3 linked regions of the Drosophila melanogaster genome follow. The protein of the gene in region 2 interacts with the protein of the main gene of each other region in a pairwise test. Each region holds a gene or a part of one and is shown on either strand. Other genes may lie near its edges.

The links. The genes of interacting proteins can lie anywhere in the genome.
Region 1: the proteins of CG14655 (region 2) and CG4622 interact in a two-hybrid assay, tested with the Drosophila melanogaster proteins (one large-scale study listed by BioGRID).
Region 3: the proteins of CG14655 (region 2) and TpnC47D interact in a two-hybrid assay, tested with the Drosophila melanogaster proteins (one large-scale study listed by BioGRID).

The regions. Positions count from the first base shown.
Region 1 is NT_033778.4:24,553,293-24,558,325, forward strand, and holds the start of CG4622 (uncharacterized protein), read right to left. Parts: upstream 2,992-5,033; 5' UTR 2,855-2,991; coding exon of another isoform or gene 2,713-2,854; 5' UTR 2,651-2,712; intron 2,280-2,650; coding exon of another isoform or gene 2,062-2,279; intron 1-2,061. Other genes in the region: ITP (Ion transport peptide), read left to right, coding at 2,062-2,279, 2,713-2,854. UniProt on the Drosophila melanogaster protein: Scaffolding subunit of the trimeric nuclear exosome targeting (NEXT) complex, a complex that directs a subset of non-coding short-lived RNAs for exosomal degradation. The RNA exosome is fundamental for the degradation of RNA in eukaryotic nuclei.
Region 2 is NT_033777.3:4,776,966-4,781,947, forward strand, and holds CG14655 (uncharacterized protein), read right to left. Parts: upstream 3,338-4,982; 5' UTR 3,110-3,337; coding exon 2,654-3,109; intron 2,155-2,653; coding exon 1,545-2,154; intron 1,375-1,544; coding exon 863-1,374; 3' UTR 532-862; downstream 1-531. Other genes in the region: atms (antimeros), read left to right, coding at 1-474; Ccdc39 (Coiled-coil domain containing protein 39), read right to left, coding at 4,306-4,982.
Region 3 is NT_033778.4:11,273,337-11,276,903, forward strand, and holds TpnC47D (troponin C at 47D), read right to left. Parts: upstream 1,951-3,567; 5' UTR 1,897-1,950; coding exon 1,885-1,896; intron 1,729-1,884; coding exon 1,554-1,728; intron 1,496-1,553; coding exon 1,244-1,495; intron 807-1,243; coding exon 778-806; 3' UTR 509-777; downstream 1-508.

The DNA of each region.
Region 1 (5,033 bases), on a different chromosome or scaffold from region 2:
GAGATCGATCAAATATGACGCCGTTCATTGGCTCCTTCCTGCGACGATGACGCCATTCGATCGATCGGCCCAGTCGCCCCGGATCATCCATTCAACCGCTCCTCCAACTTTCCCTCGCCTTCTTCTGCGATACTGAAGCCCCTTTTCGCGGTCCATGTTACATTATCTTCAACGCGGTTCGCATATCAATTATGGCACTCACGCCGGCAAAGAGCGTTAAAAATAGCCGCCTGCAGCGACGATGATGCCATAAATCGTGCAACTCGAAGCCAATTATCACCAGATGCTCAGCCCACAGCCAGCAGCCAAATCCAAATCCGAATCCGAATCCGAATCCATCGGGGAAATCGAGCCGAGCTGAGTCGCCGTACGCAAGCTGTTGCACTTTGCACTGAAACGTCGTCGGGATCTCTGACTAAACGAGTGCTACATGTGCATTGAGTGCAAAGGGTTCCCCACCCGACCACAACTTGCACTCTTTGTGCCCACCACTCGCAGGTAGGGATAGTAGGGTTCATTTGTCTGGAGCTTATTCTACCTTCCAGCAAGTTGAAGTCATAATGTTACAATAGTTGGCGATAGTACAGCGAGCAATTGACTATGACGACAGATGGATGTATTACTCTTGATTTATATATACTTTCGACACTAAGTACTAAACAATGACGACCGATGGCCTGGGATGAGTTATTTATATTCACTACAAAAATATGTGATTGCTTAAAAACATTTGTTTTGTCACACGAGACCGCAGTAATTAAGTATGACGACACATGAGCGAGCCCTTGATATCATCAACCAAAAATATATCAAATAAAGACCCCTTGGTGGAGCATACTTTTAAGCGAGAAGCCTCACTTATCGCGAATAGTATTCATAGTATTCATATAAATATATGAATATTTCGGCGACCGACTGATGAACTTTCTCAGAATTCCGATTCCAATTGGCAGTCCCCCCAAATGCCCCATTCCCCTTCCCATACCCATTTCCATTTCGGTGTTTTCCCATCTCGCGGCCATAAATCTGCGAAAAAATGTGCTCAACTTAATTGAAGACATCAGCACGGCAATAAAAAATCAATTTGCGCAGATCCTCAGAGTCGTTCGCTAAAACAATACGAGTATATTCGTTAGCGATTATATGTGTTTAAATCATTATCGGCACAAATTCGCTTTCATGTTGCTGATACTCTCGAAATTGCTCTCGAAATAGCCGACGTCGTCGTGTCTGCCTGGTTTTCATTCAGCATTTCAATTTTTCACCCGGGGTCGAAGGAATTTCACACATGTTCACACAAACGGCCAATTGGCACAGCGCGCAGTGGAAAAATTTGCGAAAAGCGCGCTGTTAATCAAATTATTCAATAGTTCGGAATGCCACAAATGCGAGTGCATAGATATATATATATATATATTCATATATATATCGCTGTCATCGCTGTAATTCCCGGCGGGCGCGCAAATTGATAAAATATGCAAAGTAAACAAATGCCCATGTTTTGGGGGCCCGTCCGCGTCTGCGTCCGTTCGCAAATTGGCTCTCCTTTGAGCCGCCAAAGACGAGGGCGGGGCGGGGCGGACTTACATCATAAATTAAGCCCGCCGACAGATGGCAAATAATGCAATAAACATTGAAATCGCCGGTGCTATTTATAGAGCGCTCCTGCGATAAGATCGTCTGCGGCACCGACTGCAACTGTTGCCACTATTGCAATTGCACCTTTGGGTGGAGAATGGCATGGGCATGGACATGGGGATGGGGATGGGGGCCCTATTTTTAGCCAGTCGGTAGACGGCTGTCGGACGAGGTCTATTTATAGGGTCTCCGCCGTCCTCCTGCCCATCCGCGATGCGGATCGAGCAGCAGATCGATGCCACCTGGGCGAGAGCTGCCCTTGCCCCTGTCCTTTGGCGGCGGCGTGGAGCTGGGCCGACATCGTGCTGGGTTGGCCCACATCTGCTTGGCCAGAGAGGTGGTCCGGGCAGTTAATTAATCTGATCGCACCTATAAATAGGCATCTATTCTTAACCGTGTTTCCGGTTTCCCACACTTTTGCAGATGTGTTCCCGCAACATAAAGATCTCGGTGGTGCTGTTTCTTGTCCTGATACCAATCTTCGCCGCCTTGCCACACAACCACAATCTGTCGAAGCGCAGCAACTTCTTCGACCTGGAGTGCAAGGGCATCTTCAACAAGACCATGTTCTTCCGACTGGACCGCATCTGCGAGGACTGCTACCAGTTGTTCCGCGAGACGAGTATACACCGATTATGCAAGTAAGTTTCCCTAGGGTCCCACAGCCCCAGCCATACGTACACATACATACATACAAATATCTAACAAAACCACAAAGCAGCATCAGTGTTCCTTACAGCGTTCAAGGCAAGGCCGTCCAAGAAACACTAATTATGATCTTAAGTGCTGGCAGACCCTGACACAAATACAATTGTCGGGGTATCGGAAAATGATCGCGGGACCTTCGGTTGTTTCTGAACTTTATGGGCCCGCTTTCCCCGCTACTTTCTCCTCGACTTTCTCGCACAGAGACCGCTGCCTATTTGGTTTCTTCCATTTGGTCTATATCTCTCTCTCTCTCTTTTTGTTTCACCCTATAGTCACTTAAATATTGTAGTAATAAGTTTATCACCTTTTCGTTTGACTTCCCTCTGTGCGAGTCCTACATCTGTGTTTCTTGTCTATTCGATGCAGGGCCAATTGTTTCGTCCACGAGACCTTCGGGGATTGCCTAAAGGTGCTGCTGATCGACGATGAAGAGATATCGCAGCTGCAGCACTATCTGAAAGTGATCAACGGATCACCCTATCCGTTTCACAAGCCCATCTACCACTAGACTCCTAACTTCGACCACTTTCGTTTCCACTTCCGTTTCCGCTTTCGTTTCCGCAACGACTTCATTTTCCTGATTTCTTACTGCCTTCAGTTACCTTTACCGTTGTGTTTCATTTTGATTTTCGTTTTCAATTTTAGGAAAGACTGCTTTGATTCAAAATGGTTTGGCGAATGCCTGAAAGTGCTGTTAATACCCGAAGAGGAAATATCCAACCTACAGCACTTTCTGAGAGTAGTGAACGGCTCGCCCATATCCTTCAACATGGGGCCGCAAACATAACTCTAAGTCCCCGCCCCACACACCCACAGCCCCAACACACCATACACCATACAGCACACAACAAACAACACACACCACACACAGCTGAGAATCGGTGCGAATATCGTGGGTTGGAACGAGCATCCGCATCCAGATATAGATCCAGATCCAGATCGAGAAACAGTCCCACTACGACCACACATGCAGAGCCAGAACACAGAAATCTAAAATATTAAAACGCCCAAATTTAATTCGTACTTATTTATTACTGTATGCCTTACAGTTTTTACTATATGTGTTTTTTTAAAAACGAATTATTTTTATTAATTTATTGAGAACGTTATGCGTTTGTTGTAAGTAACATAATTGGGGAGTGGGAGATGGGCGATGATGATGATCAGATGATGATGATGATGATGTGCAGGAGGAGGATCGCAGATCTCGCACTCCCCACATATACATAGAAGCCGAAGTATTTATTTTTAAGTATTCTTAGCTTGTTTTATTATTATTGCGTTATGCGGTTTGTATATAAAATAAACAAAACGAAATCCATTGTTTTTAATCTATGTAATGTAAAATGATAACTTTTATTTTTGTATCTGTATTCTACTGTAAAATCAGCATTTAGAGTTTACATTTTACACGATTTTCCGCAAGGGCAAAACTACAATGATAAAGATAAACCCATACGAACACACACATACACACATACACACATACACACACACTCACACACACACATATATACACCGCAATCGAGACCGAAAGTATTTTGCAAATGTATTACACTTACAATTTTGTGCTATTTTGTAAAGATGAAACCCTGAATTAGTGTAAATCTGTTGGCGCAAAACGGAGATATGTATTTACCTATATAGTATATAGTATATGCATACCTATCTAAAGCTAAAGCCTTACATATATCCGAATACGAGTACCCTACACACATGCTAAATATTAGAGAGAAACGCAAGATCGCAATTTGTGCAAGACACAAACAAAAACCTGGTAAAAACACGCGAAGAACGGAACGACTGCATTACAAATGTGGCAATAAATAATACATAATTAATAAAACCCTGTAAATTAATAAAGGATAATCAATCATTCGCTGGCTATTTGAGAGCATCAAAATTGTGATAAATGAGAATTAGAATGCGAATGCGCGACGCAGGACACCGCCAGAGAAAGAGACCGCCATACAGAAGGCGACAGAGACAGACAGACTGCAGCTGGCGATTTGCGCGCGTTTCTGGCGCGACTAAAAACGCCTGCTTACCGTTTTTGTTTTGGTACGTTATAATTTTCTTTTGTTTTTAATTAATTATTTGATTTTTGACCTTGTGCATTCTTGGCTTTTAACTAGCACTCAAGCTAAAAATTTGACCAACTATGCTTTACTTTTTGTTAAATTCCTCAATAATCCTCGAACTGTTGAGCTCGTATTTTTTGAGCAAACAAACAGAACAAGATTTTGAGAACAATAATTTTTGTGATATATTCAACCATACCTGAATATGGCTTTTGAACTTTGGCTCTTTTTTCTTCTGAGCAAGCTATACACCAAATTAAAAAAAATCAGGTTTCCTAATTCCTCCTCCTCCTTTTGTTTTTGAACACAGGCAAGAATGCTTCGGATCGCCCTTCTTCAACGCCTGCATAGAGGCTCTTCAGCTGCACGAGGAGATGGACAAGTATAACGAATGGCGCGATACCCTGGGTCGCAAGTAAAGTGCGATTCTCTGGGATTTTCTGGCACCGTCACTGGCACGAGCAGCTACTTAATTCTATGAACTATTAACTAAAACTATTATTATTGATAACTGTGGCAGAACACGGCACGAAACTATGGCAACCAGGAAACGATCGACCCGAGGAATGTGTACCACTTGAAGAAACAACTAAGCTAACATCTAGC
Region 2 (4,982 bases):
GTGAGGGAAGAGGAGCAAATGCAAATCATTGGCGAGACGGAGAAGACGAGCGAGGACGCAGCTGTTGGCGCACAGGCAGCATCTGGAGCGGACTCACCCGCCCAGGTAGCCCGCGATCGACAGTCTCGTTCTCGGAGTCGAACTCGCAGCGGGTCCAGTTCAGGATCTGGATCTGGCTCCGGCTCTCGGGCCAGCAGCCGCTCAAAGTCTGGTTCTCGGTCTGGTAGCGGCTCCAGATCACGCACAAATTCGCCGGCAGGATCCCAGAAATCCGGATCCAGATCGAGATCGGTATCACGTTCCCGATCCCGTTCCAAGTCCGGCTCTCGGTCGCGTTCTAGGTCGAGATCCAAGTCCGGTTCCCGATCACGTTCGGGCTCCAGATCTGGCTCTGGGTCGCGATCGCCCAGCCGGTCTCGCAGTGGCTCGCCTTCTGGTTCAGGATCCAGCTCTGGAAGCGCCTCAGATGAATGATTAATTACAAAAAACGGCGTTCATAATAAATAAGTTTATAATCAACCAAGTACATTTGAAAACTGAACTAACTCGATTTAATATCATTTTCGCCTCAACTCAGCGCTCGGGTTCGTTGCCCAGAATAGTTTTAAATAAAATCGGCAGTTTAACATAATTTATATTAGATGTTGTTGTTGTATTGCAAACAAGTCGGGTCCTAGTCGATTTACACTTGGCTGAGATAAAACAACTAAGATTCAAATAATATCCTCATAAGAAGATGTAATTAAGACGTTTTTCTTAGGGGGTGCTTAGGAATTGATTAGATCGCCTTTGGGGAAGTGCAAACAATGTAAAATGATATAAAAGGGTATAAATTAAGTGGATATATGCATCTTCGTTCCAACTACGTGGCGTCCATCAAAAAGCGCTGGAAGACTTCGCCATCGGAACTAGGTAGCTCTGTTTGTTGCGGTGAGTAGATTCTCAAGTTCTGGAGTTGCTGCAGCGGAGAGCCATTCCCGCTGAAGTGTACCACCGCAACCGGCTGTAGGGATATGAGCTGTCCCTCCTCCCGCGGCTCCACACCACAGATGCCCAGCTTTTGGCACTGCTCAACGACAATGTCGTCGATTGACTGCGAAAGCAGTGCCTCCTGCTCAGGATCCACAATGGAGCTGCTGTTGATGGCAGCTATTTCGGCGCTCGCTGGTGAAGGCTGAGTATGCGAGTCGTTGCCCTCCAGGAACGCCTTTATCAGCTGCTCCGGTGTCTGGGCCTCCTCGGTGGGACATCGATGGGTCCTTTGACTGACCTTGTACCTGAACGTCTTTTGGCAGAGCTCGCACTTGTAGGGCATCACTCCCGTGTGGATGCGCGTGTGGACAAGGAAAGAGACTCGCTGCCGGAAACACTTGCCTGTGGACGAGTCCGAAATACGAAAAGGTTAGACATGGAGTGACCCGGAAAAGAAGGTATACCTCTCCTTCATTTAAAGTAAATAGGGCAAATCGCAATGGAGTATGCTCATTTATAAGCTGGCTAACAAAATAAGGGGCGGCTAATTAAGGGGTTTGATCGATACTCACCGCAGACTTCGCACTTGAAGGGCTTTTCGCCGCTGTGAATCCTCTGGTGGTTATGCAGCGTAGACAGTTCCTTGAAGGCGCGTCCACAAACCCCGCAGACATGGGGCTTTACCTCGCTGTGGTAGAGCAAATGCTTGTGGTACGACTGCTGGAAGGTGAAGGTCCTGGCGCAGATCTCGCATGTGTACGGCATCTCGCCGGTGTGGAGCCGCTTGTGCTTCTTCAGAAAGTACTTGGTGGTGAAGGACTTGCTGCACACATCGCACTCCCACAGCTTCGGGGTGGCCGTGCCCGACTCCGGCGAACTGGGGGACTGCTGGAGCATGCTCAGCGCCCCACTCAGCGCGTATGGCTGGGATGCGGTGCACGTGGAGTTATTTCCGTTGCCAAGGGCTCCAGGCTCTGTGTGTCGAATGCGATCGCAAATGCTCAGCTTGGGCGTGGCAGTAACTGCACTGGTGGTAGAAGCGGGTGTAGGACTGGGATTAGGATTTGGATTGGGATTGGAGCAGGGCACGCCCATCATGTGCACTACTTTCAGGTGGATTCGAAGGGAGCCCTTCATTCGGAACGTCTTGGAGCAGAGATGGCACTTGTAGGGCTCCTGGTCCTGTATAAAGCAATAATCGGAATTTCACTTATATTTATCAATTCATCAATATGCCCTCATGGCCAAATATTCCATTACATTACCGTCTGTCTCTCAGTTTCAAATTTATGCACAAAAATCATTCACTTTCATTCACTATATCACAAAGTTGCCATGGTTTTAAATTGATCAAAAACAAATTAATATCTATCATATATATACATAGTCATATGAACAGTTGAAAAATTAATTGAAAATAATGGGAACGATATACGTACATACATCAGTTGTTTTTAAAATATAAGGGTATATAGATTTCTTTCTTGTTGTTGTTGATTTTAATTACGTCAAACTTTTGTTTCAGATTCAATGTAAATGGTCTAGCTTTTTAAGTATGATTTTTTTTTGCTGCCAGTGAGCATAGAAAAAAAAAATCAAAATCGATATAAGAATATGCGAAAGTGCATTACGAAACTCTTTAGATAATAGCACTTAATATATGTACATAGCCAATAGTTACCGGTTCCTTCTGTTGGGGTTCCTTTTGCTTGGGTTCTCCCTCCGCATTTTCGTGGACTAAGCGGACGTGCATGTCCCTCAGCTCGGTATTCCGGAAACTGAACTCGCAAATGTCGCAGTGGGCGGGCGGGGTGGTCCGCACAGGCGGTGGGGTTGGGACGACGGGCTTGGACCTGGTTCGCTTGGCCCTCCGTTTGGGAGGAGCTGCGGCAAGGAAGCCCCGGGACGAGGCGGGTTGGCCATTCGCTGGACTCTCGTTTCCCTCCTGAGCCATCAGACTTGTGTGCGAGAACAGGTGGATGGTGAGCTTGTCCAGCCCCAGGAAGAGCTCCTTGCAGTTGGCAAAGGGACAGGCCAGTGGGCCGTTGGCCGCCTTGATCAGCCTCTGCTGCAGTGCGTCAATACTGCCGAAACTGGGCACCGCGCAGAGCGGACACAGCACCGAGGTGGAACACATTTCGCCAGTGCACTCAATCGAATCTTATGCAAATGCTTCACCTCCTATTGGGATTATCCTCCTGTTCGGTCTGTGATCATCTATTCAGGAGTCCATTCCCAGACTGCCTAGTCTTTCTGCTTTCAAAATTTTCTAAAAATATCAGCAAGTGAAGATTTTTGAAAACTTTGGGCCCAGCAATCTGACTTCTCGGCACCGATGCCAGCTAACGAAATAATGAAAAATAATGAAATGCCCGGCGCGGATCGTCGAATCGTCAAGAAGACTTTCGGAAACACTCGCAGCACCGAAATCCCATCTCTCGAACAAGGCAGTCTCTTTTCTCCGTGTCTCTGGGTAGCTCATTTCGAAATATAGCTCTGAGCACGGCTATATACTATATGTATGTAGAATTATTTCTGGCCGATATATGTTGCACTGGCGGCCATATAGCCTTCGTTCTAGTCTTTGTAACGCACGATGCGCAGGAGCAATTCGCTGAGATGACCACATGCGATTTGCGGGACTTATCTAGAGATCTATCATTATCGCCAGATTGGTTTAATAATTGGCTTTTCCGCCAATATCCAATTGGAATATGGTTGGTTACTGCAATTGTCGCTCCATTTTTTAAGCACTCCATAAAAAGTAAACACATTAATATGTACTCTTATTGGAGATTTCTTCTTTCGATTTTAGTTTCGGACCAGTGAAAATCATTCGTTTCATTTTCGTAAATAAGAACTGAGAAAATATTATTATTATATATATTTCTTTATTAGGAAAATACGAAGATTGAGTATTTCAGATTGAATTAGCATATCCGTCTAAATCTTAATGCTGTAATGAGCTTACTTGAGATCTGATCAAAACCAATACAAAACCCACACCAAAGGTGGTAGCTAATATACATATTTTGTGTAATACTTTTGTAGAGTATTTACTATTCAGCGATTTAAACAAGCAATCGCCTAGACACACACATTTGTCCGCCTATGTGTATGTGCACCGAGCTATACCCCCACTGAATCGCTGTGTGCTATTTTTATGGCCGCGATGCTCTCTTGTTTTGACCCGCTTGGGCAACGCATTTTATTCGCTGTTTCGTTTAGATGGTCAATTTGTAAACACTGCGATGCCAACACGTGAAGATACGAGCATACGGGTTGAGATCATCGGATATCGAACGGAATAATAAATAAATATATTTTAGACTATTATTTTTTCTTCGGCAAGGGCAACTCAAGCGATATGATGCTCAGTCCGGAGTGGGAGGTTGTGGAGGATGTGTCATCCTTAAGGGAGCTCATGTCGGAGACGGAGGACCGGGCACTAGCCCCGTCGCAGGAGAACTTCTTGCCCTTAACATTGAGGTAGGAGGCGGTGTCCTGACCCTGCGAGGACTTGCCCGAGGAGCTGCTGTTCCAGGACACGCGGCTGCACGTGCGCTTCAGGTGCATCGGCAACTTGATTCCTTTTCGCAAGAGGATTCCAATTATATCCGTGCCGCTCTCGTCGCTGTTCGCCAGATCGGTGATCATGTTCAGCGCCTTGGTGTTACGCGCCTCCAGCTCCTGTAGAGACAGATCCCGCTCGAACTGCGCCAGGTACTCCTCGCTAAAGGGCCGCGCCTTGATCTCCCGCAACTGTGTCCGGATCTCTCGATTGGCCCTGTCCAGCTTCATTCGCTGGTCATCTAGTTCGCGCTCGATCTTCTCCAGAACTGCAGAGTGCTCCGCCCGACTAGCCTTCGCCTTCTCTATTTTGGAAATCAGGTCTTCCTCCTCAGCTCGCTGGGCTGCGTGCTTCTGCTGGTAGTGCTGTGCCTTGCACCTGAGAACCTTCAGTTTTTCCAGCTCGCGGCAGTAGGCCGCCTCAAGTTCCTTCAGCTCCA
Region 3 (3,567 bases), on a different chromosome or scaffold from region 2:
TTGCTCCACTTGGTGGCAACATCCAAACCCCAACCCATCCACATCGATCTGCCCCAAGCCCCTTCTCCTTTTTTTTCGCTAACTTTTCAGAAAGGGCAGTTGCTTCTTTTCGCTGAATTTGGGAAAACAAACTCACTGCATGTCGCGGCGGCCAAGTTTAGCGTAAATGCTTGACATCTTTTGGCAACAAGGAGAATGCTCATTGACATTTGCCAGCCTGCATGCATAGCTATGATATACTACATTGGCTGTTTGGAAAGGCAAAAATCTAGCAGGTTGTCAGTGGGCCTTATTCTGCTTGGGATGGTCACAGCTGTGCGGACCAGAACGCCAGTCAAGTGGCAAACGGAATGTGCACGCACTGCCGCAAGTAATAGCGGAAAGATTGAAACAAAGAACTCCGCATGCATCTGGCCACGTTGCGTATGCGCAACATGCATCACTCATACGCCGAATGGCCTTGCCAAATTAACACACAAATGAGCAGAGCGGCCACGCCCACTCCCAGCCCATTGCACAAACATTGAAATTTAATAATAATCCGCACGCCAGAGGGTGGCAATTGGCAATTAAGATGACTCAACTCGGATGCAGATGCACTGCAGCCATAGAATGTTTGCCGCGCTTTGGGTTTTTCTACTCAATCGGTTCCTGAACGAGCGGATTATTTATAGCGTAATTATGATTACTCAATCGTAGAAATAAAATACAAAACGTTTATTCAAGCCTCGGGTGTTGGGGGGTAGACAATTATGAGATACGTTGGGTCCACAATGCTTACTCGCCAGTCATCATCTCCATGAATTCTGGAAATTAAATACAAAATAATATTAATTATTATTATTGTTGATAACTAAAATATGGTTTGTGTACTAATACAAGTGGAAATTGGACCAAAACCTCATAATACAAATTTGTTTCTTTTTAAACTGGTACACCAATCGGAACAATTATAAAAGGCGGAAAATATGGACGGATTTTGTTTTAGGAATAGTGAAATGCCCCTTAGAATCTGGGGCAAAGTGATCTGCTTGTTTCTGTGTAAAGATCTAAAGAACTATAAATAAAGCACCACAAGGGCGTCTCCCCTCGTTGGTGGGATGGTGGTGTTAGTGGGGAGGGGTAGGGGTTCTCCACCGCAACAAATTGATATAATTTGTGTGGAAAATACCATGGCAGCGCGCCAAGGAATCCAAGATCTTTATAGCCCGACTGACGGCGGCTAATTGGTCCGCGCACTTACCATCAAAATCAACGGTGCCAGAGCCGTCGGAATCGATTTCCTCAATCATGATGTCGAGCTCCTGTTCGGTCAGCTGGTCGTCCAGTTCCTTGAGGATCTCCTTCAGGCAGGAGGTGGGAATGTAGCCATTGCCCTGCTTGTCGTACAGACGGAAAGCCTCGCGCAGCTCCTTCTGCATGGCCTCATCATCCTCCTCTACGATGAACTTGGCAGCCAGCTGGACGAACTCCTCGAACTCCAGGCGACCGGATTCTGCAGAAGAATCGAGGATTAGTTTGGGCACCCGGCAATATAGGCTGCGAACACTTACTGTCCTCATCGACCTCGTCGATCAGCTCGTCAAGGATCTGCCTGTCGAAGGGCTGACCCATAAGACGGAGGATATCGGCCACCATTTCGGTGGGGATACTGCCGGTCTTCTGGTGGTCGAAGCTGTTGAATGCCTTCTGCAGAACGGCAATCTGCTCGGGGGTCAGGTCTTCGTCCTGAGAAGAAAGTTCCATGAATTTCCATACATTACTTCGTTTGTAATTCGGTAAAAATCTTTAAATTGATGAGAAACGACATTTCTCTATTCCTTAACACTGCTTTCAAGTGCAAGGTGTTACCCCTAGGGGTTTCTATAATCCAGTGGCACTCACAATGTTATCCATTTTAAATCCTGTGCTAGTTGTTCACCAGATCGATCACCGCTAACGACTGAATCAGTTCCCCACTTCTTCATTGAGCTCTTGAGATCCCCAGAAACCCCAGAAACACCCACACACAACGCCAGGCATTCCAAAAGTAACAAGCTAATTTATGGTTTTCAGCAGCATTTCGAAAATAAAACCAAGCGAAATAAACAAAAGAAGTGAACGCGCACACGAACCTGTGGAAATCTTAAAATGTGTTTCTAATTTTCGTGGAGTGAAAAAAAGGAAAATACGAAAAGCACTGTAAAACCATTGAGCATTGCCGAATTTACTGCGCCTGGCCACCAGAAAGCAGCAGCACCACCAATGCCACCACCACCATCACCACCAAGAGCAGACGATCCGAACCACATCCACCCACTACAATACGATTTTGTAGTGGTTTGCTAAGCTTAACAATGACTATTTTTAGCCGACACTGCGGGAAAATCATTATCAGATTCGATGGCAGCTGGAATTATTGTAAATCATGCTGTTGATAAACCAGTTCCAAATGCGCTATCAACATCTGTTAAAATTAAACACGCTTAATGACGATAAAAAATAGTCTTAAATAACCTTATTTAAATAAACATCTCTTTTTATACTTTTGGGACGTAATACTGGTCTTTGATTTTAGCCACTTAAATAACTACAAACTCAGGCTGAAACTTAAAAACCTACCCTGTTCTACGGCTTTTGAATTTCGGTTTCGCTTTTATTAACAAATTACCATACGAAATGAGTCAGCAAAATTCCAGACAAAGATGTTATAGTATCAGTTCAGCAGTTGAATTTCGCCCAGTGTACGCTTAATTGGTGCTCATTTAAATAAGTATCAGATATTCCCTCATAATTAGATCAAATCTGATCACATTTTCCAGCTGACACGCTTTATGAATCAATCACGACGTGCCCATAAAATCATTTTATAACTCAGCCAAATTAACGAGCAATTAAAAAATCGACATTAATTAAGAGGATGGAATCATTCCACACACAGACACCGACAACTCGCACATGGAAATATCAAACGAGCAATGTGTTAATACATTTTTATAAACGATTCGAATATTGTCTTTTGCGATTCAGCTTCCTATTCCCATACGCGCGCATATATATTCACATTTAAATCAGCCATAATATTAATTATTCGTTTTGTTTAATGCCAGCCATGATATGCAAATTGATTTATAAATTTTAATAAAATAGCAGTTTGTGTGGCACACATTTTCGAAACCAGCCAACGTATTTGTTTATGTGGCTATGGAATATTGGGAAAATCGAGGAAGCCAAATCTTGCTTTCCAATTATGACAGCGCCAGCCAAAGCAGCCGCCAAAAAGTTGACGTCACTCTGACATATTGACCATTTGTTTATGCTCTTATTAATTTATTAGCAAGTAATATATGCGACACACATATCTCAAAATGCCAGGAATTAGTAATGAACAACAGCTGAGCGGGAGAAAGGAATCCTTGGCGCCGCAAAGAATCCGAAAAATCTCATTGAGTGATTACACGGAGGAAATAATATGGGATTCCTTGTATTCATTTAAAGAAAAAATATCTCAGTCTGTTCTATTTTAAGTTACAAACTTATATTATTAAAATATAAGTTAAATACTGCATACAAATTCATTAAACACAT